Linked DNA regions of Arabidopsis thaliana. The protein of the gene in region 1 interacts with the protein of each later gene in a pairwise test. Each region holds a gene or a part of one and is shown in the gene's direction. Other genes may lie near its edges. The genes, in order: WAKL10, IQD6, AT1G65690 and UBC34.

What was found.
Region 2: the proteins of WAKL10 (region 1) and IQD6 interact in a protein complementation assay, tested with the Arabidopsis thaliana proteins (one large-scale study listed by BioGRID).
Region 3: the proteins of WAKL10 (region 1) and AT1G65690 interact in a protein complementation assay, tested with the Arabidopsis thaliana proteins (one large-scale study listed by BioGRID).
Region 4: the proteins of WAKL10 (region 1) and UBC34 interact in a protein complementation assay, tested with the Arabidopsis thaliana proteins (one large-scale study listed by BioGRID).

What each region holds. Positions count from the first base shown.
Region 1 is NC_003070.9:29,979,099-29,984,554, reverse strand, and holds WAKL10 (WALL ASSOCIATED KINASE (WAK)-LIKE 10), read left to right. Parts: upstream 1-1,735; 5' UTR 1,736-1,805; coding exon 1,806-2,772; intron 2,773-2,878; coding exon 2,879-2,995; intron 2,996-3,141; coding exon 3,142-4,367; 3' UTR 4,368-4,582; downstream 4,583-5,456. Other genes in the region: RFO1 (Wall-associated kinase family protein), read left to right, coding at 5,218-5,456. UniProt on the Arabidopsis thaliana protein: Serine/threonine-protein kinase that may function as a signaling receptor of extracellular matrix component.
Region 2 is NC_003071.7:11,142,577-11,147,340, reverse strand, and holds IQD6 (IQ-domain 6), read left to right. Parts: upstream 1-2,237; 5' UTR 2,238-2,358; coding exon 2,359-2,424; intron 2,425-2,498; coding exon 2,499-2,726; intron 2,727-2,803; coding exon 2,804-3,031; intron 3,032-3,103; coding exon 3,104-3,217; intron 3,218-3,293; coding exon 3,294-3,908; 3' UTR 3,909-4,051; downstream 4,052-4,764. Other genes in the region: CYP711A1 (cytochrome P450, family 711, subfamily A, polypeptide 1), read right to left, coding at 4,071-4,400, 4,483-4,578, 4,671-4,764. UniProt on the Arabidopsis thaliana protein: May be involved in cooperative interactions with calmodulins or calmodulin-like proteins. Recruits calmodulin proteins to microtubules, thus being a potential scaffold in cellular signaling and trafficking.
Region 3 is NC_003070.9:24,430,515-24,434,908, reverse strand, and holds AT1G65690 (Late embryogenesis abundant (LEA) hydroxyproline-rich glycoprotein family), read left to right. Parts: upstream 1-1,743; 5' UTR 1,744-2,010; coding exon 2,011-2,473; intron 2,474-2,971; coding exon 2,972-3,267; 3' UTR 3,268-3,492; downstream 3,493-4,394. Other genes in the region: LSM8 (Small nuclear ribonucleoprotein family protein), read left to right, coding at 81-132, 212-264, 356-446; EXPB6 (beta expansin 6), read right to left, coding at 4,239-4,394. UniProt on the Arabidopsis thaliana protein: Plays an important role in the abiotic stresses-induced abscisic acid (ABA) signaling and biosynthesis. Acts as a positive regulator of ABA-mediated seed germination inhibition. Functions downstream of ABF2/AREB1, ABF4/AREB2 and ABF3.
Region 4 is NC_003070.9:5,916,252-5,922,607, reverse strand, and holds UBC34 (ubiquitin-conjugating enzyme 34), read left to right. Parts: upstream 1-2,265; 5' UTR 2,266-2,629; intron 2,630-2,631; exon of another isoform or gene 2,632-3,410; 5' UTR 3,411-3,445; coding exon 3,446-3,502; intron 3,503-3,705; coding exon 3,706-3,760; intron 3,761-4,173; coding exon 4,174-4,212; intron 4,213-4,294; coding exon 4,295-4,358; intron 4,359-4,458; coding exon 4,459-4,520; intron 4,521-4,586; coding exon 4,587-4,644; intron 4,645-4,721; coding exon 4,722-4,749; intron 4,750-4,913; coding exon 4,914-5,005; intron 5,006-5,185; coding exon 5,186-5,462; 3' UTR 5,463-5,776; downstream 5,777-6,356. Other genes in the region: AT1G17285 (uncharacterized protein), read right to left, coding at 1,321-1,390, 1,496-1,893. UniProt on the Arabidopsis thaliana protein: Accepts the ubiquitin from the E1 complex and catalyzes its covalent attachment to other proteins.

The sequences.
Region 1 (5,456 bases):
TTAAGTATTATAATTGAAACAAAATATATTATATAATTAAAATAATAATTTTTTCTTTTGTTGAGAAACTAGCAAGGGTATCTATCCCATGGAGATACTCTAACAAATAAAGGCCGTGTTGATTTAGGTATAGGAGAAAGTACGATTTATTAAATATTGTAGCAGAAAACAATAGAGATAAGTTGGAAACTAGACACTTTTTTCACAAATAATTTGCAAAGTAAGTAGTTTTTTTAGAAATAGGGAGAATAGACACTTTTCTCTTTCCTTTCTAATACAATTTTCTATCTAATAGAGATTTTAGTGAATGACCTTTATAGCCTTCTGTTGTTTTGTCATATAGTCAAATAAAGTCAAAAATAACTTTTGTTTCTTAATGATCTAAGAAGTGGTATACGGTATAGACAGTGTACAAAGTGATGTACAAACGATAATATACAATGATGTATAACTACATAATAAGATGGTGTACGAAAATGTAAAATATGGTGTACATGATATTAATAGTATACATGCAATAATGAGATAATAAATCAAACCATAAATCACCTTGTACACCGTATATAATATCGTACACCTTCACCTATTGTGTACACCTCATATTCAAAAGATAAAACCATTTTTGTCAAGTGATAATATACAAAACAAAGTTTAAATAATAATAATATGAGATTAGTGTACATAAAAGTGTACAAATGTTAGTGTACATAAGTAAAAATGTATAATCATTACTTTCATTTAATGGTATACACCATTATGGTTAATTTAATAGTATACATGATGGTGTACACCATTATATTTTTATTAATTTATGAACAATTATTATTTTATTTTATAAATATGAGATAAATAGAAATATTTTAGAAGATATGTATAAAATGATTTGGTGTATAAGTGTTAGTGTACAAAACTATGTTTTAATGCTGGTGTACGAGAATTATAATTAAAAACATATAAATCATCTTGTTTTTGGAAGAAGAAATTATTTTTTAAAAATAATTTATTTTTATAAAATTCAAAAAGATGAATATGAAAAAAAAAATAACTATAATATAATAAAAATAGTTCTAAATAGTTAAATAATATAAAAAGTTTGACCCATATTTTTTCATATAAAGTAAAAGGTAAAATGGTATTTGACATATTTTTTGTCTTTTAGCTTATTACACATAACCTCTATTTCACAAAAAAAGTAAAAAAAGTGTCTATTTCACAAATTTCTAAAAAAACTACCTACTTCTCAAATTACTTTTTAAAAAGTGTCTACTATTCTAATAAGCCTAAAACAATAAGCTGAGCTAGATTCACTTCTCTATGTTTCTTGCGTTCATGCGTGTGACCTTACAAAAGAAAATCCAAAAAACGCAACTCTGACTAATGTTTCAGCAGATCATAACACATAATAAACATGCATGAGCTCTACAGATACTTGTTCTCTTTTTGATATTTAATTAGCCACGTTTTAATCTAGAGTCGGATTGTGATAGTTACAGTGGAAATTTCTCCTCGCGACCTAAACCAGTCACGTTTTGATATTTTTCTTTTTTCTCGTAAATAAATGGAGGAATATAAAATATTGAAATTCAAACAAGGAGGCTCACTGAAAGCAAGAAAAGCTTTCACTAGGAGGACTAGAGAAACAAAGACTGACCAGAGAAGAAAATATGAAAGCGAAATTCAAAGATGAAGACTTATGATTCATTGCTGGGTCAAACTAAACACAAGATTTTTCCTTCGCTCATCCTTACAAAACCCGTCTCTGCTTTTAGCTTTTCTTGAGCAGATCATAAACAGAAAACATTAATATGAGCTCTAATTGTAGTTGTTCTCTTTTGAGTCTCTTCTCTCTCCTTCTGATCATTGATCTCACCGTTGCTAGCTCTTGTCCTAAGACATGTGGAGGAATCGACATCCCGTACCCGTTTGGAATCGGAACGGGTTGCTATCTCGAGAAATGGTACGAGATTATTTGTGTCAACAACTCTGTTCCTTTTCTTTCCATCATTAACAGGGAAGTTGTGAGTATCTCTTTTTCGGATATGTATCGCCGGTTCTTTAACGTAGGCTACGGGTCAATTCGCATAAGAAACCCAATAGCTTCAAAGGGATGCTCAAGTGGCGGACAAGAGTTTGGATCACTTTTAAATATGACAGGTTACCCTTTTTACCTTGGCGACAACAATATGCTCATAGCGGTTGGCTGCAACAACACGGCGTCGTTGACAAATGTCGAGCCAAGTATTGTGGGATGCGAGTCTACTTGCAGCACAAATCAAGATATACCTATAAATGATTATCTCGGGGTACTCTACTGTAATGCTAGGTATGGCGATTCCGAGTATTGTAAAAATATTTCCATTATGAATGATACAAGCTGCAACGGTATTGGATGCTGCAAGGCAAGTTTGCCCGCTAGGTATCAACAGATTATTGGTGTGGAAATAGATGATAGTAACACAGAATCCAAGGGATGCAAAGTTGCCTTCATAACAGACGAGGAATACTTTTTGTCAAATGGATCTGACCCGGAGAGGCTTCATGCTAATGGATATGATACGGTTGACCTAAGATGGTTCATCCATACGGCGAATCATTCCTTCATAGGCTCTCTAGGATGCAAAAGTATAGACGAGTACACAATTCTAAGAAGAGACAATCGTGAATACGGAATAGGTTGCCTTTGCGACTATAACTCTACAACTACAGGCTATGCAACATGTTCATGCGCTAGTGGTTTCGAAGGCAACCCATATATTCCTGGCGAATGCAAAGGTATATAAGTAATTGCGCTAATTATCCTAGTTTTCTATGACCATGCATGATAAAAATATTCCAACGAGATCATTGTTTGATAACATGTTAATTTTAATAAAATCAGATATTAATGAATGCGTAAGAGGCATTGATGGAAACCCAGTCTGTACGGCAGGCAAGTGTGTCAATTTGCTGGGCGGTTATACGTGTGAGTACACAAATCATCGACCACTTGTTATAGGTAAGTCATGAAAATTTTCATCTCAAGTACACTCACATCTATCTAAAGTTTTCTTTTATATATACATATATAAGATTGTGTACAAATAGTGTTGAGCCATATAGAAAATGTATTTTGCTTTTCATTTTTCTTTTGTGGGTTTGTAGGGCTTAGCACTAGTTTCAGCACATTGGTATTCATTGGTGGAATATACTGGTTATACAAATTTATTAGAAGACAAAGGAGGTTAAACCAAAAGAAGAAATTCTTTAAGCGTAATGGGGGTTTATTGTTGCAACAACAATTGACTACAACTGAAGGCAACGTGGACAGTACAAGAGTGTTCAACTCAAGAGAGTTGGAGAAAGCCACCGAAAACTTTAGCTTAACCAGAATACTAGGCGAAGGAGGTCAAGGTACAGTGTACAAGGGAATGCTTGTAGACGGTAGAATAGTAGCAGTAAAGAAGTCCAAAGTCGTAGACGAAGACAAGCTAGAAGAGTTCATCAACGAAGTCGTCATTCTCTCACAAATCAACCATAGGAACATCGTAAAACTCTTGGGGTGTTGCCTAGAGACAGATGTCCCTATTCTAGTCTACGAATTCATTCCTAATGGTAACCTTTTTGAGCATCTTCATGATGATTCCGATGATTATACGATGACTACTTGGGAAGTGCGTCTTCGTATTGCTGTAGATATTGCAGGAGCGCTTTCATATTTGCACTCGGCTGCATCATCTCCAATCTATCACAGAGACATCAAGTCTACAAACATAATGTTAGATGAGAAACATCGAGCCAAAGTGTCCGATTTTGGTACTTCAAGAACGGTGACCGTGGATCATACCCACCTCACTACAGTAGTTTCAGGCACGGTGGGATATATGGATCCAGAGTATTTCCAGTCGAGCCAATTCACAGACAAAAGTGATGTTTATAGCTTTGGAGTCGTGCTAGCGGAGCTAATCACTGGAGAAAAATCAGTCTCTTTTCTGCGATCTCAGGAATATAGGACATTGGCAACTTATTTCACTCTTGCAATGAAAGAGAACAGACTCTCCGACATTATTGATGCTCGAATAAGAGATGGTTGTAAGTTGAATCAAGTGACAGCAGCCGCAAAAATTGCAAGGAAATGTTTGAATATGAAGGGAAGGAAACGACCAAGTATGAGACAAGTATCGATGGAATTGGAGAAGATTCGTTCATATTCTGAAGATATGCAGCCGTATGAGTATGCTAGCGAAAACGAAGAAGAAAAAAAAGAAACATTAGTGGACGTTAACGTAGAGTCGAGAAACTACGTGAGTGTTACCGCCGCATCATCTCAATACAGCATTGCTACAACATCTTCGTCGCGGTCAGATGTTGAACCATTGTTTCCTCGGTAATATATTAACCATGCATGCAAACAAATTTATTACTACCTCATATCTTTGCATTTACGTTCTGTTTTGGTCTTTACGTGTGAAGTTATTTCTATAAATGTCGTCACTCGTCAATTTGTGTTATTAACCATACAGATCTGTTTGTAACCACTTTGTAGTTTGTACTTTGTACTATACACTTCCCAATACATAAGAATAATTTCATAGTTTACTTCTTTAAATATTTTGGCAATAATTATTACAGAATTTACTCAAGTATTTGTTATCTGGACATGGGCTCTCTTACATAATTATACATGTCCAAAACATAAAACCGTTGAGACTGTTTTTAAAAAAAAATTTATACTACAATTATATGAGAATTTTGTGAATCCGGTCAGATCATGGATCATGTTGAACCTTAATCCGATTCGACTCAATGACCAATTCATTTCGGTTTAACAGAAATTATGTTAATTGACAATGTGATGGAACCTTAACCAACATAATTTAGAAATTTCGACTGATGAAAAGGATCCTTTAGTTTAAGAATTAAGATAGTCAACTTTTCCATTGCACACATATGAATGATTTGCGTTGGTGAATAGTCAATTTCCTGATATTAATAATCTATGTGAATAATCAACTTTGTTATATCATCTGGGAAAAAAAATGATAGTAAAATCGTATAACTAAAATTAAGATTCTAATTATGAAAAATTACAAAATTGATTTGGACAATAAGTTGTGTAAACTTGTAATGATAATTGATCCCTTGACCGTTGACAAAATAGAACTTCCAAATTCCAACGAGACGGCTCAATAATTTCTAAAATAGAACTTTCATACATAAAAGTCATTAGAGAAAAAAAAAATGAAGAGAAGGAGACTTTTTTTCTCTGTTCTACTCTCTATCCTAACTCTGTTCATCAATGGTCCTTTGATAACGACAGCTCAATCTCCACCTTCTTCTTCAACTTCATGTAACCGTATCTGTGGAGGAATCGAGATTCCTTTTCCTTTTGGAATCGGACGAAGAGACTGTTTTCTCAACGACTGGTACGAGGTTGTCTGTAACAGCACCACCTCCGGTAAATCCTTAGCTCCGTTCCT
Region 2 (4,764 bases), on another chromosome or scaffold:
CGCTAATCCGTACTTCTTCTATATTCGTCCAATCCCTTGGGCCTTGGCACACGTCTTATTTCATTATTATTTTTTTTATTTTTTTATTATTTATTATTTTATGTCACTCGAGTATGATTCTTAATTTGAATTAATATACAATGAGCCGAAAAACATCTAAAACTATCAAAATGATTCATTTGTACTAAACTACTAATAGGCAGTACTGCTAATAGGTAACGAAAATACGAAGACTTTTTCTTACCGCCATGCAAAAAGTTGACAATGAAGGCGAAGTTGCAAAACCTCAATTGAAGAAAGTTGATTATATCAGAAAAGTCAACAACGGACAAATAATATTGGATATGAAGAAATCCAACCTAGTCCAACAGTAGAGAAACCATAAGTTTAGTCAAATTCCAAAGAAAGCTCCAACAACTAAAGAAGTTAAAAAAGGATTTTGACTATCTCTTCTCTCTACCTTCAAAGATATGTGAAAAACGACCCAAAGCCAAAGTTACACTCCTATGTCTAAAGAATTCGTTTGCCGAAAGTGATCCGCTTAATATGATCTAAAATTATTTACAATAGAGAGTGTTGAATTGATTTAATAGGATATTGCAAATGATGATGAAAATGAGGTGGATTAAATTGTGTTAAAAAACAATAGTTGGTTTTGATTTGCTTTTTTTTTTTGGTATCAGGAATTCAATCTCTGGATTTCATCGTCAATGTATTATGATCCTCAATTGAAAAATGGCAAAAGATTTTATTTAATACAATATTTTTGTGTTCTCTCTTCTAATTCATTTCATGGGTTTCATGTAGAGTCTGTTTCCAATTTATTTATTTGTGTGTTGTAATACTCTATGATTTTGATTTATTTTTAGTTTGTAACATATTGTTTCTATCTCATTTCCTCTTTAAGAGCTATGCCACCACCATTCTGGTTGATTTGTGAGTTAGCACATTAATCGCTAATGTACATCATATCAGAAACAACTCTTGACTCGATTTTTTTTACTTTCATTGTATGTTTAATGTAGTTTTTTCTTCAACATTGGGCCACAATTGGCCGGCCCATTAGCCAGACAAACAACTCTTGGATCGAATTTTTTTCCTTTCATTGTGTATTTCATGTAGTTTTTTTTCAACATTGGGCCACAATTGTCCGGCCCATTAGCCAAATCCCTACATTTGTATCGAGCGGGACTCAATCCCAAGTGTGATGGTGCATGTTTTCGGTGGTACATGTTTTCATGTAATTTTTGTTTTATTATTTTAAGAAGTTATCATCAATTAGAATTAATTGTATATATCTCATTTTCATTGTATAGCTAAGGACCCAATCTTTACAGAGTTCATCTTTTTTCTCTGTCTGATTAATCTTTTTTTTTTATTATGTCTAATTAATCTTAAAGTTGCTAGACAAATAGATTCATGTACAAGATTCACTCAAACTAAATATGAGCGAGAAAAAATAGTATATATATTGAAAACTAAATTTGGGAGATACATGGGCATTTTTTTCGATTCTTTAACTCGTGAATTTAGGTTGTTCTTTTGTCGTTTCAGTTGTTGTTTTTTTGTATCAATCACTCGTGAATTTAGTTTTTTTATGAGAGCATAATTTATTATAATTTGCAATAGAGTTGTAAAGTTTAAATTGCTATAACGCTGTTTTGTGGAGAGTTAAATAGGGTGTTGACTGTTGAGTCATAAGACCAATGTGTATGGTCTTAGAAAGAAAACCTTGTCATAATTATATAAGATAATAAGTTCTGTTATAGAGGTTATTAGACAAGTGATAGGTCTAACCAGTCCAAATCACAAAATCCAAAAGCTAAACATTGCTTTTCGAAAGAGAATGTATTTCGTAAATCTGATTTGCAACATTTTGGGAAGTTTAAATTTCGAATCCAATGATATAAGAATAATAAAACAAAACAAGGTATTACATGAACATGAGTGAGTCACTGTAAAAAGTAAAAAACAACAAAAAGCCTAACATACATATATATATATATTTATTAATTTATTGTACCTTTTCATGGTTTCTTTTTTCATGCCTGTAACTCTGAGAAGGACACAGACACATTTGTTTGTGTAAGTAATAAATAAGTGTGAAAACACAATCAGAGACAAAAGCCTAAAGACTCGAGCAAACTTTTTATTAATATTTTGTTTGTTGCTTTGCTTTGATTTGTTCAAATTTCAAAAACTTCTCTTTAACCCACCACTCCCTCCATTACCACCACAACTTCACATTCTCCGATATTCTCTCTCTCTCTATCAATCTCTCACTCTCAAACTTTCTACATACCTGAAGAAAAAAATAATCTACGAATTCGAGCCAAAAAGATCGAAACTTTTTAATCTATGGGTGCTTCAGGGAAATGGGTCAAGTCCATTATCGGTCTCAAGAAGCTAGAGAAGGATGAAATCGTAAGTTCATTATCTTTTTTTTTTGTTCTCTCGTTCAAAGGTTAAAGCTTTATCGAGAGATACTCTGTTTTCAGGAAAAGGGTAATGGGAAAAACAAGAAATGGAAGCTATGGAGGACTACTTCAGTAGATTCATGGAAGGGTTTTCGAGGAAAACATCGGTCTGATTCAGACGGTGTTGATTCTTCTACTGTTTACTCTGCTGCTGTTGCTACTGTTCTTAGAGCTCCTCCTAAAGATTTCAAAGCTGTTAGAGAAGAATGGGCTGCTATTAGAATCCAAACCGCTTTTCGTGGATTCTTGGTGAGTTTGCTAATTGGTTTTGATTAGAATTGAGAGGAATAGAACTTAGTTTAATTTGAGGATTTGTTGTTAATTAGGCGAGAAGAGCGTTGAGGGCATTGAAAGGGATAGTGAGGTTACAAGCTTTAGTGAGAGGAAGACAAGTTAGGAAACAAGCAGCTGTTACATTGAGATGCATGCAAGCTTTGGTGAGAGTACAAGCTCGTGTTAGAGCTCGTCGTGTGAGGATGACTGTTGAAGGACAAGCTGTTCAAAAGCTTTTAGATGAACATAGAACCAAATCTGATCTCTTGAAAGAAGTCGAGGTTCTTGTCTTTACCTTTTTAGCTCATTGGTTTGATGATTGTTTATTGTTTTGAGATTTGTTATGTTCTCAGGAAGGGTGGTGTGATAGGAAAGGTACTGTGGATGATATTAAGTCAAAGTTGCAGCAGAGACAAGAAGGTGCTTTTAAGAGGGAACGTGCTTTGGCTTATGCTCTTGCTCAAAAGGTAACTAACTTGTCCACATTCAACATCTTGTTTAAGTTCGTGTCTGAAGCTGAATCGGGAATCTTGTTTTGTGTAGCAATGGAGGTCAACTACTAGCTCAAACCTTAAGACGAATAGTTCGATTTCGTATCTTAAAAGTCAAGAGTTTGATAAGAATAGTTGGGGATGGAGTTGGTTGGAGCGTTGGATGGCTGCTAGGCCATGGGAGACTAGACTTATGGACACTGTTGATACCGCTGCCACGCCTCCTCCTCTGCCTCATAAACATTTGAAATCACCGGAAACTGCGGATGTTGTTCAAGTTAGAAGAAACAATGTGACCACTAGAGTATCTGCAAAACCTCCTCCTCATATGCTGTCTTCAAGTCCTGGTTATGAGTTTAACGAGAGCTCAGGTTCATCCTCGATTTGTACTTCAACTACGCCTGTTTCTGGAAAAACTGGACTTGTTTCAGATAACTCTAGCAGTCAAGCAAAAAAGCACAAGCCAAGTTACATGAGCTTGACTGAATCGACAAAGGCTAAGCGAAGAACTAACCGCGGTCTCAGGCAATCTATGGATGAGTTTCAGTTTATGAAGAACTCTGGAATGTTTACAGGGGAATTGAAGACTAGTCCTTCCTCAGATCCTTTTGTTAGTTTCTCCAAACCACTCGGTGTTCCTACTCGATTCGAGAAGCCGAGAGGTTAAATGTGACCTTGTTAGATTGGAGTTTCAACAGCTTGTTGTTGTCTTGTGTGTTGTGAGATATCTGTGTATGTTGTTAATTGTTCTTTTTCCTTTGGAACTACATTGGAGTTTTGAATTTAAATATAAATTTCAGTCTTGCTTTTATTTCACTTGTTTCAAGAATCAGAATCTTTTGATGGTTCTGAGCTTAACCCCGTTCTTGAAGCTGAGAATTATACCATAATCAAGCTGCAGTGGTATCTCCATTTCTAGGGAATGTCTGAAAATGTAATTACGGTAGAGATGCAGTAATGTGAGTTTGATCTCTTGCAGGGCAAATCTCTGTCCAACACAGGCTCGTGGACCGATACCGAATGGGATGAAAGCGTATGGATGTCTATGTTTCTCCTCTTCTCCGTTCGGATCAAATCTTTCCGGCTTGAACTTCTCCGGTTCTGGAAAGTTTTTAGGGTCCTTTGCTAGAACTCCTAGTGCTAACCAAACCCATGTCCCCTAAGCAACAACCACAAGGTAAGTAATAGATTACAAGTGCTGACTGTAAATGGACTAATCCGCTTGATGGGTTTGAATATACCTTTGGGAGTAAATAACCTCCTATCTCCACTTCTTTAGCAGTTTCCCTTGCAACCAAAGGAGAAACCATGTAGAATCTCATAGCCTCTTTAATGACCTACAAAGGAGGCAAATAAAAAACATTCATAAAGATTCTAATCTCTCACAGAAACTCAACTTCTCGGTTTTTGTTTGTTACTAATGAAGCACCTGATCGAGGTATGGAAACTTGTGTTGTAAGTCATGAGCAGTCGGGATCAGATCACGGTTCCCAAACCCGTCAATTTCTTGAAGCAGACGTTTC
Region 3 (4,394 bases), 5.5 Mb from region 1:
AATTATACATGATCACCTCCTTTTTTTCGTAAGAGGGTTAAAGGTTTGATTCATGTCTGTTTTCTTGTTTACACTAAGAGTATGTCAGGTCATGTTGATACTTCATTAGACAAATGTTCTTGGATATTTTTGGTGTGAAGGCAGAGTTCTGTTAAAATGATGGATATTGGAATTAGGATTGAGACCTCTTACTATGTCTTCATCTTTGCAGGAAGGAGTACAACAACATGTGTTGGGTTTGTACATCATCAGAGGGGACAACATGTAATTCTTATCATCCATCATCATCAGTGATTTTCTAACATTGCAATTGTTTTTTTGTTTCAATAAAAAAAATGGTGTCATCTTTGATCAGAGGTGTTATCGGGGAGCTGGACGAGGAGCTTGATGCTAGTCTGGATTTTTCGAAGCTGAGAGCCCATCCGTTGAAACCCGTAGTGCATTGATTGAATATAGTTATGGTGAGAAAATCTAATTCTCTCATTCAAAGCCTAAAAACAAAGAGAAGATTTGATTGTAAACAATTTGGATAGTTTGTTTTGATGTCTGGAGTTGTCTTATTTGTGTATCCTAAGGACAAAAGCTATATGATATTTTATGTCTTAAACGTTTTGGTCGGAAACTTAAATCATACAATCTTTTGGACGGACCTAGGTTTGCTACTAGACCACAAATTCTTTGATTAGAAAAAAAACTTTTATTGTTAACCAAAATTTTATAGATATTCAAATTGCAAAAGAAAAAAAAAAGAGGAATTAGTTTCTGGTATCTTACAAATTATAATGTCGTTGCAATTTCATCTAGAAGGATTATATACATCATCAAATCTATCAACATCAACAAATGGCCGTATTTAAAACTTAGAAGCATCATACATTTTCTATAAGACAACAATATAGATATTAACTTAATATGTCATTCTCCCATAGTCGCATCATACAAGTCGTTGGTTTTGGTAATAACTCGCCAAAACCAAACACTTCTGATTTCATCGGAGTCTTGGGTCTTCTTTTACGATTCCAATGTAATATTCTTCATATTAAGTGATTTATTTCTTGAAATTTTTCATAGTAAGTGTTATCAGAAGCTTTTGATTTTTGGTTATTAATATGAAGAACAAAAGAATTGCGTTCTAAAAATTTTTCGTTGATAACGATTAATATTAAACAGAAACACTACAAATAAATTAACATCGTTGGGGCCTAGGGATTTCGAATGGAATTTTATTTGCAAAAAAAATAATAAAATAAAGCATGTTAACAAAAAAGTAAAAGAAAAAAAATTCATGACGAAATGCATGAGAACACTGCTGCATAAGTCTTAGGGGATTAGGTCAACAAAAGTAAAGTAGATCTTCATCAAATGTATTTTGACTTTATAATGTACCTATTAGTCAAACTATATGCGATCTAAATATTAAAAACTTGTATTTTCTCAAAGACAATGCGAGGCGTAAATATATGAAATTTTATTTTGTAGATTAAGTACCATTTATATATGAAATATAAATAAATCAAGAAGAGTAAACATGAAAGAGCAAAAGAGTAAATAGAAAAAATTATAGGAAATAAAAAGAAACAAATAGTAATTGGAAAATATCTTAAGTGGATATAACTTTTAGTTGTTTGATAATGTATAGGACTACAATATATGTATTTTCCAAAAAGTCATCCTAATTTTTCCATCTATATTGCAAGTAATTTGATACCTACTAATGATTTTTATTTTTTTTATTTGATGGGTTCACATCAAACTCAATTTCCATAAAAGACCGCTACCTAAGCAGACACGCAAATTCACATTACACGTGTGATGTGTTGTATGGAAGCGAATGTACTTGTTTTTCATAATCTATAGGTTCATATAGAGAAGTCTCTCCATTGAAAAGTTCTTCCCTCTTGACTTTAAAAACTCCATAAGGTCCCTACTTATATTAATTTCCCAAACCCCTAAATAAGATCTACAAACAAAGCTTCTTCTTCTTCTTGGTGTCATCAAGATTTTCCAAAAATGTCTCAACACCAAAAAATCTATCCGGTCCAAGATCCAGAAGCCGCAACAGCGCGTCCAACAGCTCCTTTGGTTCCTCGTGGTTCCTCTAGATCAGAACATGGAGACCCATCCAAAGTCCCTTTGAACCAAAGGCCACAACGGTTCGTGCCGTTGGCTCCTCCAAAGAAGAGAAGAAGTTGTTGTTGCAGATGCTTTTGCTACACGTTCTGCTTTCTTTTGCTTCTTGTCGTTGCAGTAGGCGCATCCATTGGTATACTATACCTTGTCTTTAAACCGAAGCTACCGGATTACTCTATTGACCGGTTACAGCTCACCCGGTTTGCACTGAACCAAGACTCGAGTTTGACTACGGCTTTTAACGTGACTATAACCGCTAAGAATCCGAACGAGAAGATTGGAATTTATTATGAAGATGGGAGCAAGATTACCGTGTGGTACATGGAACATCAACTAAGCAATGGTACGTCACTTTTGGTTTACTCCGGTTTGCTTTCTTTTGGTTTTTTAACGTAGGAAGGCTTCAAAATCTCACTACAAAACCGGTTTATTTGGTTGATTTCTGTTCTTTTCCTTTGGTTTGGTTCGTACACAAGGAAGACTTTAAAACTCTTTTCAAATTAGGGATGTCTAAATTTTTTTGGTTGGCTTTGGGTTTACTTTCATTTTGGATTAGGATTGTCAAATACTGTATATCTTTAGTTTCAAACAAAATTTGGTTTAGATAGTTTTTGTTCGGTTCATATTCAATAGTTCGGATATAATAGAGTTAATTCATTCAAATCAATCGTTTTTGGTAGAGTTGGATCATACCGGTTTATCCGGACTGAAAACCCCAAAACTAAACATATTTATTTATGTTGTTTGGTTTTCTTGTTTGATTATAATTCGTTTACACCATTTCAAACCGGGTCTTCTTATAGATTTAACTTCATTGAACTTTTGTGATTTTTTTGAATAGGGTCGTTGCCAAAATTTTACCAAGGACATGAAAATACGACAGTGATATACGTAGAAATGACTGGTCAAACACAAAATGCATCGGGTTTAAGGACGACATTAGAAGAGCAACAACAAAGAACCGGGAATATACCATTGAGAATTAGAGTAAACCAACCGGTTCGGGTCAAATTTGGGAAGTTGAAGCTCTTCGAAGTAAGATTCTTGGTCAGATGTGGTGTATTTGTTGATAGCTTGGCTACCAATAATGTTATTAAGATTCAAAGTAGTAGTTGCAAATTTCGTCTTAGGTTATAGATCCGTTTTTTTTTATATAATTAATATCGAGATATACAGAGGGAATTTTGTCAGATATAGTCACATACTCATATATAGTTCTCCTCTAAAGTACATTATTGTGTCTCAGACCTTTGTTGTATAATAAACTGTTGGTTTAAATTAATATATTAAAGTATACAATACTATGTACATAGGTGGAATTCAAAGTATAGTAGTTGTAAGTTTTTAAAACCAGAGCATGTCCACCACTCCACCTTACCTTCTTTTAAGCAAACAATTGGTTGAAGGTAGACTCCAAAATTCAGTTTTAACTACTTACAACTTAAATTGGAGGTAACTCCAAGATCTTAGTTATGAATTCAAATTTGCATTAGATTTACTTGTTCCAACAATTACTTCTGGTATTCTAAAGCAAAGACCAAACTCAATAAATAAACCTTATGGTAAGACATTCCAAGCAACATGAAAGAGATAATAAAGAGACATAGATATATAGAACAAACTGAATTTTTGCGAGAAGAGAGAGACATGTAGAAAAGAAACGCTAAAAGAACTTACACAAAGAAGATTCATGTACTTAACTTGTGACAGTCCTCTGTAACAATTTGAGAACTATCCTCATGAAGTAAGGTCCTGAATCAAAAGTACAAAGAAACAAATTCCTAGTTCAAGTTATATACCAAACCGAAGTCTTTGTAGTTGTACAACCAGTTTCAGGAGGAAGGCTACCTTTGAAAGGTATTGTAACACTGGCTAGAGAATGAGCATAATGTCGATAATTTTTCTTTTGATGAAAAAAGATTTAGAGAATGGCAAAAAATATAATATATGCGCTCATATTGGTGGTAAGTCATATATCTTTCTATTATTCGTTACTATATCATAAGCTTTGTATATTATTTGGCCAAAAAAAAAAAGATTTGTATATTGTAGTTTGACTAGAGAAAAACAATGAAATGTGTCGGATTTCAAATTTGACAAAGAAAACTCTACTTAAAGTTCACAACTGAACGGTAAGTTTCATTAGGTTTCCAATTCGCCGGAATAACATTATAAGCTAGGACTACTTTATGAGATTCAGCAGAAGTAAGTCTGATGTTGAATGGTCCTGTTAGAGGACTGCCAGAGCTGATCTTCCATACAGC
Region 4 (6,356 bases), about 24 Mb from region 1:
GATTTAGAATTTATCTTGTTTTCCTTTATTTTCAACGGATTTCTTTAAACCCTTTTCAACGAATATTGAATGTCTTTCTTTTTTTCTTTCTTACCAAATACTCTGTCAAAAGCCATCTATATATTTATCTTTTCAACGAAAAATCAATCTAAAAAAAGAATGTAATAAACGTAAATGAGATTTTTTTTTAATTTCAAACAAAGGAATGAGATTATTATTATTGTTTTGTTTTGTTTTGTGTGTTTTCAATCCATAATCCGTAATCTCGAGTCTTTTAGCCGTTTATGATATTTTCTTAGTCAAAAAATTTGTCTAAAGAGAGGTCGTAATAAATGAAGGTGGTTTTTTCTTCTTCTTTTTAATTTAGTTTGGTACTAATAATAATAATGAACAATTAATTGGAGATAAAGAACTTCTGGATCGTGGATTATTCAGACAAAACCATGTGTTTTATTGGTCGGAGTCGGCGCGTAAAACGCTGTTAGAAATTGGACAAAATTTGGCCATTATGGGCCGAGTTACGGTTTAGAGACTCTCTTCCGGCCCAACCGGTTCGTGGGAAAAATTCATCATATTATACATGGGATCAGCAAAACGACGTCATTTTGGCGGCGGTTTTCTCAGCGTTTCCTAATAACAGTAATATTATTATACATGGGATCAGCAAAACGACGTCATTTTTGAGTAATGTGTTGGATGCCACTTTGTTTCTTCTTGGTCCAAAAGTTTGTAAACAATCTCAACAATCTGTATCGGTGTTTTAGAGAAGTACAAACTTACATGTCAAAAGGAATCTAGTGCTCACAGCTGTGATTACTTCTTTCATTGTTGCTGTTTTGCAGTGAGGAGTAATCACTGGATATCGAGATAGGCAGCTAAATAGTCAGGATATTGTGAGGTTTCCTGCAGAACAACTTTCAATTTTTTACGGATCTGAGGATGCATTTTTGAAGCATATAGAACCGAGAACATAGATAAAGAGGTTGATCATTTTATATTTAAGGTTTTAAGCACCACTGAGAACAACATGCTATGGCTGAGGATAAGTCTGCTGAAGTCAAATAAAAGAAACCACAAAGCAGAGAAAAGAAGAAGAACTCAAAAGATTAAAGAGGTTGAGAATAGTTTTGGAAAGTTAGACTACTCGAGCTAGGAGGCGTTTTAAATTTTCATCCTATCTTGATCGATCAATAAGATTAAAAGATGAGTTCATATATTTCAAGTAGATTACAGCATTAAAAGCACACATGTCTAGGTACCTATTCTACAAAAAAAACGAAAGTAGAGGATCTAAATAAGGACAAAAAAAGAACTGGAATTTTAAGGTTTTCTTGATGTTGTGATCTGCTGTTGTTTCCTACTTGCTTTAACATCTACCGGTGGATTACACCTGATACAAAAAGAAACACTTTTTGATGTCAATTACACCTAAAACTCATCTTTGGGGATACATAAAAAAAAAGAAAAACTAGATTGTGTCTCGTATCTTCTTTACTTGTTCTGTATAGGGTTTGAGCCACTCCTTGGGATTCTTCTGAAGCTATCATTTTCTCCCTTAAGTGGCTCTTTCTTCATCTCCTTGCTTACAGGCAAATCTCTCACAGCTTGACTCGAATGTGTCATCGTTAACAGAGAACGTCCTTCTACACTATACTTGCTGCTAAAGAAAGCTACAAGTAACAGAACCAGAGCCACTGAACAGCATCTCTTCATTCTGAGTTCTCTTCTTGAAATTTCCTTTAGGACTCTTGAAACCTCTTGACTTTTTCTTGTTCTGTTTTTCTGTGAACTGAGAAAATCTTGGATGGAGATGTGTGTTAGAGAAAAGAGAGACGAGAGACTTCTAAAGCTTGTTGGTTTTATAGAATAAGATTTATGTGTGTTTGAACACATAGTTATTGGGATCTGATCACGTGATCTTACTTTGACTAATGCTATTTAATCAGATGGTGAGATACTTATCTTATTCTTAATCATTTACTTACGATGATGATGATATTCCTCAAGCATCTACATTGAAACAATGATACAATATCATATGTAGAGACAAAGATCCACATATTCACATTACCTAACTCATGTAACTGCTTTGAAACTAAGAGATGGTGGTCATGTGATTAGAGCACGTGATTTCTGCCTACTGTTATCGGGGAACTCAAAAGAGGCTGAAACTTAACTTTATTGAAATTATTTTTTAAGCATAACTTTGGAATTTGGAGGTATTAGTGTAAGTCCAATTTCAGAAAAGAAAAAATTGCAGGTAACAGCTGTTTTGTCTCACTACTAATCACTAGTTTTTTTTCTTCTTCTGCAGCTATTTTTTTTATATTTCATGAAGAGAAGGAAAAATTGATTCCAAGAACCGGCACAGATTCTTTGATGAGTGGTGGAGAATAAAGAAATAGGGAAAAGTGCATTACGCAAAATAATTATTAAATCATTGATCCTCTAATAACGAACCGGAATGGATTATACAATACCGGTCTAACTTGTGTTGAATTTTGTTCGGTTTAGATAAACCAAGCGCGAGTTAGGCTAATTCTTTCTCTCTCTACCCGCGGAGAAGGAGAAAGTGAGATTAACGAGAAACCCCAAGAGAGAAAATCTTCATCGACAAAATTCGATTCAGGTGATCAATTTCTTTCATATTTTCGCAATTATTTCTTGGATCTGATGTTATCTACTTTGGAATTTCTTCGCTGCATTATCTTTTGATTTGTTGTTCTTGTTCCTTTGCGTTTCTGGGTAAGAGCGAAGCTTGAAATTGCAATTGGAATCTCTAACAAGTTTAAGACTTTGCTTTGATACGGTTTATGTGGAAGTATCTGTGATTTTCTTATATATTTATGGAAGATATTGCAGCTGATTCGAGTTTGGTTTGCCTATCATTGTTGCAATTTTCTCGGTTCAATCAAAGGATTTTCTAGGTTGATATATAATTCCAGGGATTTCCAGATAATTTCCTTTAATTTGGTTGGAATTCGATTGAATTTTCGTTGCTTTCAATTGGTTTGCAGTGATTTGGGTGAAAAGATTTTTCCAAGCTCATGGAAATTGGGGATTTTTATTCAAAGGGTGTTTCTGGTGATCATAGAGTTGTTTGACTCAAGTTTCATTTGATCTTGTGTGTATTTGGTTGGTTTTTCTTTTCAATCAGGTCATGAAAGTATTGCATAATAGCTAGAAGTATTGTTATCTCTGTATATGTGTTGTGAGATAGTACAATTGGTAAAGTTTCCATATCAATGGCACGAAAATCAACTGCAATTTACTCGTTTCGATATATGTTTTTATGTAGTTCATATATGTAATTCAGACATAAGGGTTTTATGTAGTCCATCTCATCAGTAGGTGGACTTTCACTCATATTTGTATTTCGTTTTGTTGATAATGTTAAATGGGTGTAACAGCTGCTGCAGCTATTCACTTCGTCCATAGCACGTAGATGGCAGAAAAGGCCTGTATAAAACGTCTTCAAAAGGAATATAGAGCACTTTGCAAGGTACACTCTCTTTACTTGTTTTTCTACCTCTCTCGAGCTGGAACCAGGATTCCATATTTTTATTGCTCAACCAGTTTTCTCTGTACTTTCAAATGATGCTGTATCTATATGTGAATGTTTTCTTGGTTTTGGTTTAGAGTAAGTTTCATATTTTCTTTTGTTTCTTTGGGGGTTATTTAATATGTTCTGTTTTTGGCCTTTAGGAACCAGTCTCCCATGTTGTTGCTCGTCCTTCCCCAAATGACATTCTCGAGTGGCGTAAGCCTTCCCTATCTTTTTTTCTTAATCTTTATTCCTGCTGGCTTCCTGTAATCCTGTTGCAAGCGTTTCTATAAAGATGTTATGATAAGTATATATGATGGACATATTTGCTACACTTGTGAGTATACGTTAAACTAAGAAAAAATGGGATACTACGATCTAAGTAGACAGAAGAGGTCTCACATTACTTTGATGGAATAGTGAAGACTTATTTATCAAAGGTTTATATGTACTTACAATGCATAGATTTGATAGTTTTCTTCTCAATTGTGAAAGGCTGTCAGTGTTACTGTTAGCCTGATAGCGGTTAGGGAGTTTCAGTCTTTCTATTATTACTGCATTTAGTATGTTAAAAAGGGTAGCTTGATCTCTTACTAAAATAGAGTTAAACTATTGGATTAATCTTACAGATTATGTGCTGGAAGGCAGTGAGGGAACACCTTTTGCAGGTGAAAATCTTCTTTTGAAAGTTTCTTGTTAGTGTTGTCTTACGCAGTATCTTATTTTTGATACTAAAATTCTCTTTACCAGGTGGATTTTACTATGGAAAGATCAAGTTTCCTCCCGAGTATCCTTACAAGCCACCAGGGATTACGTATGTTCCAATGGTTCCTCCAAATTCAGTCTCAACATTACTCTTACCTCATTTTTTGTCCAGTTTTTTAATGAACCAAATCTTTTTCTGTTTGCCTCAGAATGACTACACCAAATGGTCGATTCATGACACAGAAGAAAATTTGTTTATCTATGAGTGATTGTAAGGACAATCTGCACTTTCTGTTCATTATTTCGTATCAATTAACTTGTCTAATATCGAAATAAGTTGACATGGCATTTACAGTTCATCCAGAAAGCTGGAATCCGATGTGGTCTGTATCAAGGTATAGATTCTTTCTTTACTTTTGGAAGATGACAATCGATATACCCGTTGATAACCAACTTTTTTTCATGAATGCAGCATACTTACAGGACTTCTCTCATTTATGGTAAGCTCACTGTAGGTTCTACATATTTATGGACATCTTGTTTGAAAATTCTCATATTCTTATATTGTAATGGTTTATTAGCTTAGATATGAATATTCAAAAAGGAAGTCTATTTTTTCTTTTCTGTTCTCAAGCTTTCTCTAAACGTTTTCCTTGCGGCGCAGATGGATACCAGTCCGACAACTGGAAGTGTTAACACTACTGTAATTGAGAAACAACGGTTGGCTAAGTCATCTCTCGCTTTCAATTGTAAAACGTAAGATTTTCCCATCATCAAAAAATTTCAAATTCTGGATTCATATAGAAGCTAAGTTTAGTTATCTGTGGTTAGGATAGTCATAAAAGCTGGTTAGATAACGAATATAGGAATGAATGCAGTCCTGAGATTACATGTTTTCGGTATTTCACCTGAATCCAATGTTCTTACTTGTGACAGCCCAGCATTTCGAAAGCTATTTCCAGAGTATGTAGAGAAGTACAACCAGCAGCAACTAGCTGAGCAAGCTACCACACAACTGACAACACCAGAGTCTCCTCAAAAGAGCGATACCAAAGTCGAGTCAGAGAAAACCATCGATCCAACAAAGGGAGATTCAGAAGGTGGCTTGAAGGAGAGGAAAAAGAACAATAAACAGGGATTGCCAGCGTGGATAATACTGTTGCTAGTGTCGGTTTTCGGTGTGGTAATGGCGTTGCCTCTGCTTCAACTGTGATTTCTATGCAACAAACCTCGACCTGGTTTTCGTATAATCTCTCCTTGTGTCTCTCTCTCTTCAGCATCAAGAGTAGTCTCCTTTTGTCTAGTGCTCTTCGTCTGAATTTACTCATTTAGCACCTCATGGTTTGTGCTTGTAAAAGCAGATAACATAAGTTTGGTTTCACAATTACATACATATTGTAGCTTCGTTGGAACTACTTTGTATAGTATATATGAATTGAGGATAATGGTTTGGATTTGAAAAATAGAACCGTATGGTTTTCAAATTGTACTTCTCCTAGAGCTCACAGGTTAATTTGTCAATTTATGTAAATACTCTGGTGTAGTAACTTGATGAAAACAGAAGTGACAGAGAGAATACACAGACAATAGTGAATAGAATTGTTAGGTATATTGGGCCAATTAAGCAATTGTCCCTTTAGGCCCATTGGTAAGAAAAGGAAAAAACCATACTTAATGATAAATTAAAACCGGTATGGCTGTACCGGTTCAATCTGTCTTCAACCACCGACGTTGACTTGTTACCAATCTTCTTCTTCTGCTCGAGTCCAGTCCAGTGAAAGTGATTATGTTTATGGTTAATAATGTTAACTCTATAATTTAGTGGGAAAAATGTTATTTAATACCTCAACTTACAAAAAATGGTCAAATTAACCGTGAACTCGTGAAATGGCCGTTTTAACTTTCAACAAAAAGTTGACTTCTGTTTTAACATTCAAGTTTGCGTTGACTCGGCCTAATTAACCACCGTTAAAATTCCTTCTAACAGCGTAATTGACAGACGTTACAGAACATCCGTTAAGGTGATACGACGACGTTTTGTGCTATCAACAGACTTCAAAGTCGACGAAACCTCTGAAAAATCCCCAAATCAAAACCCAAACCCTAA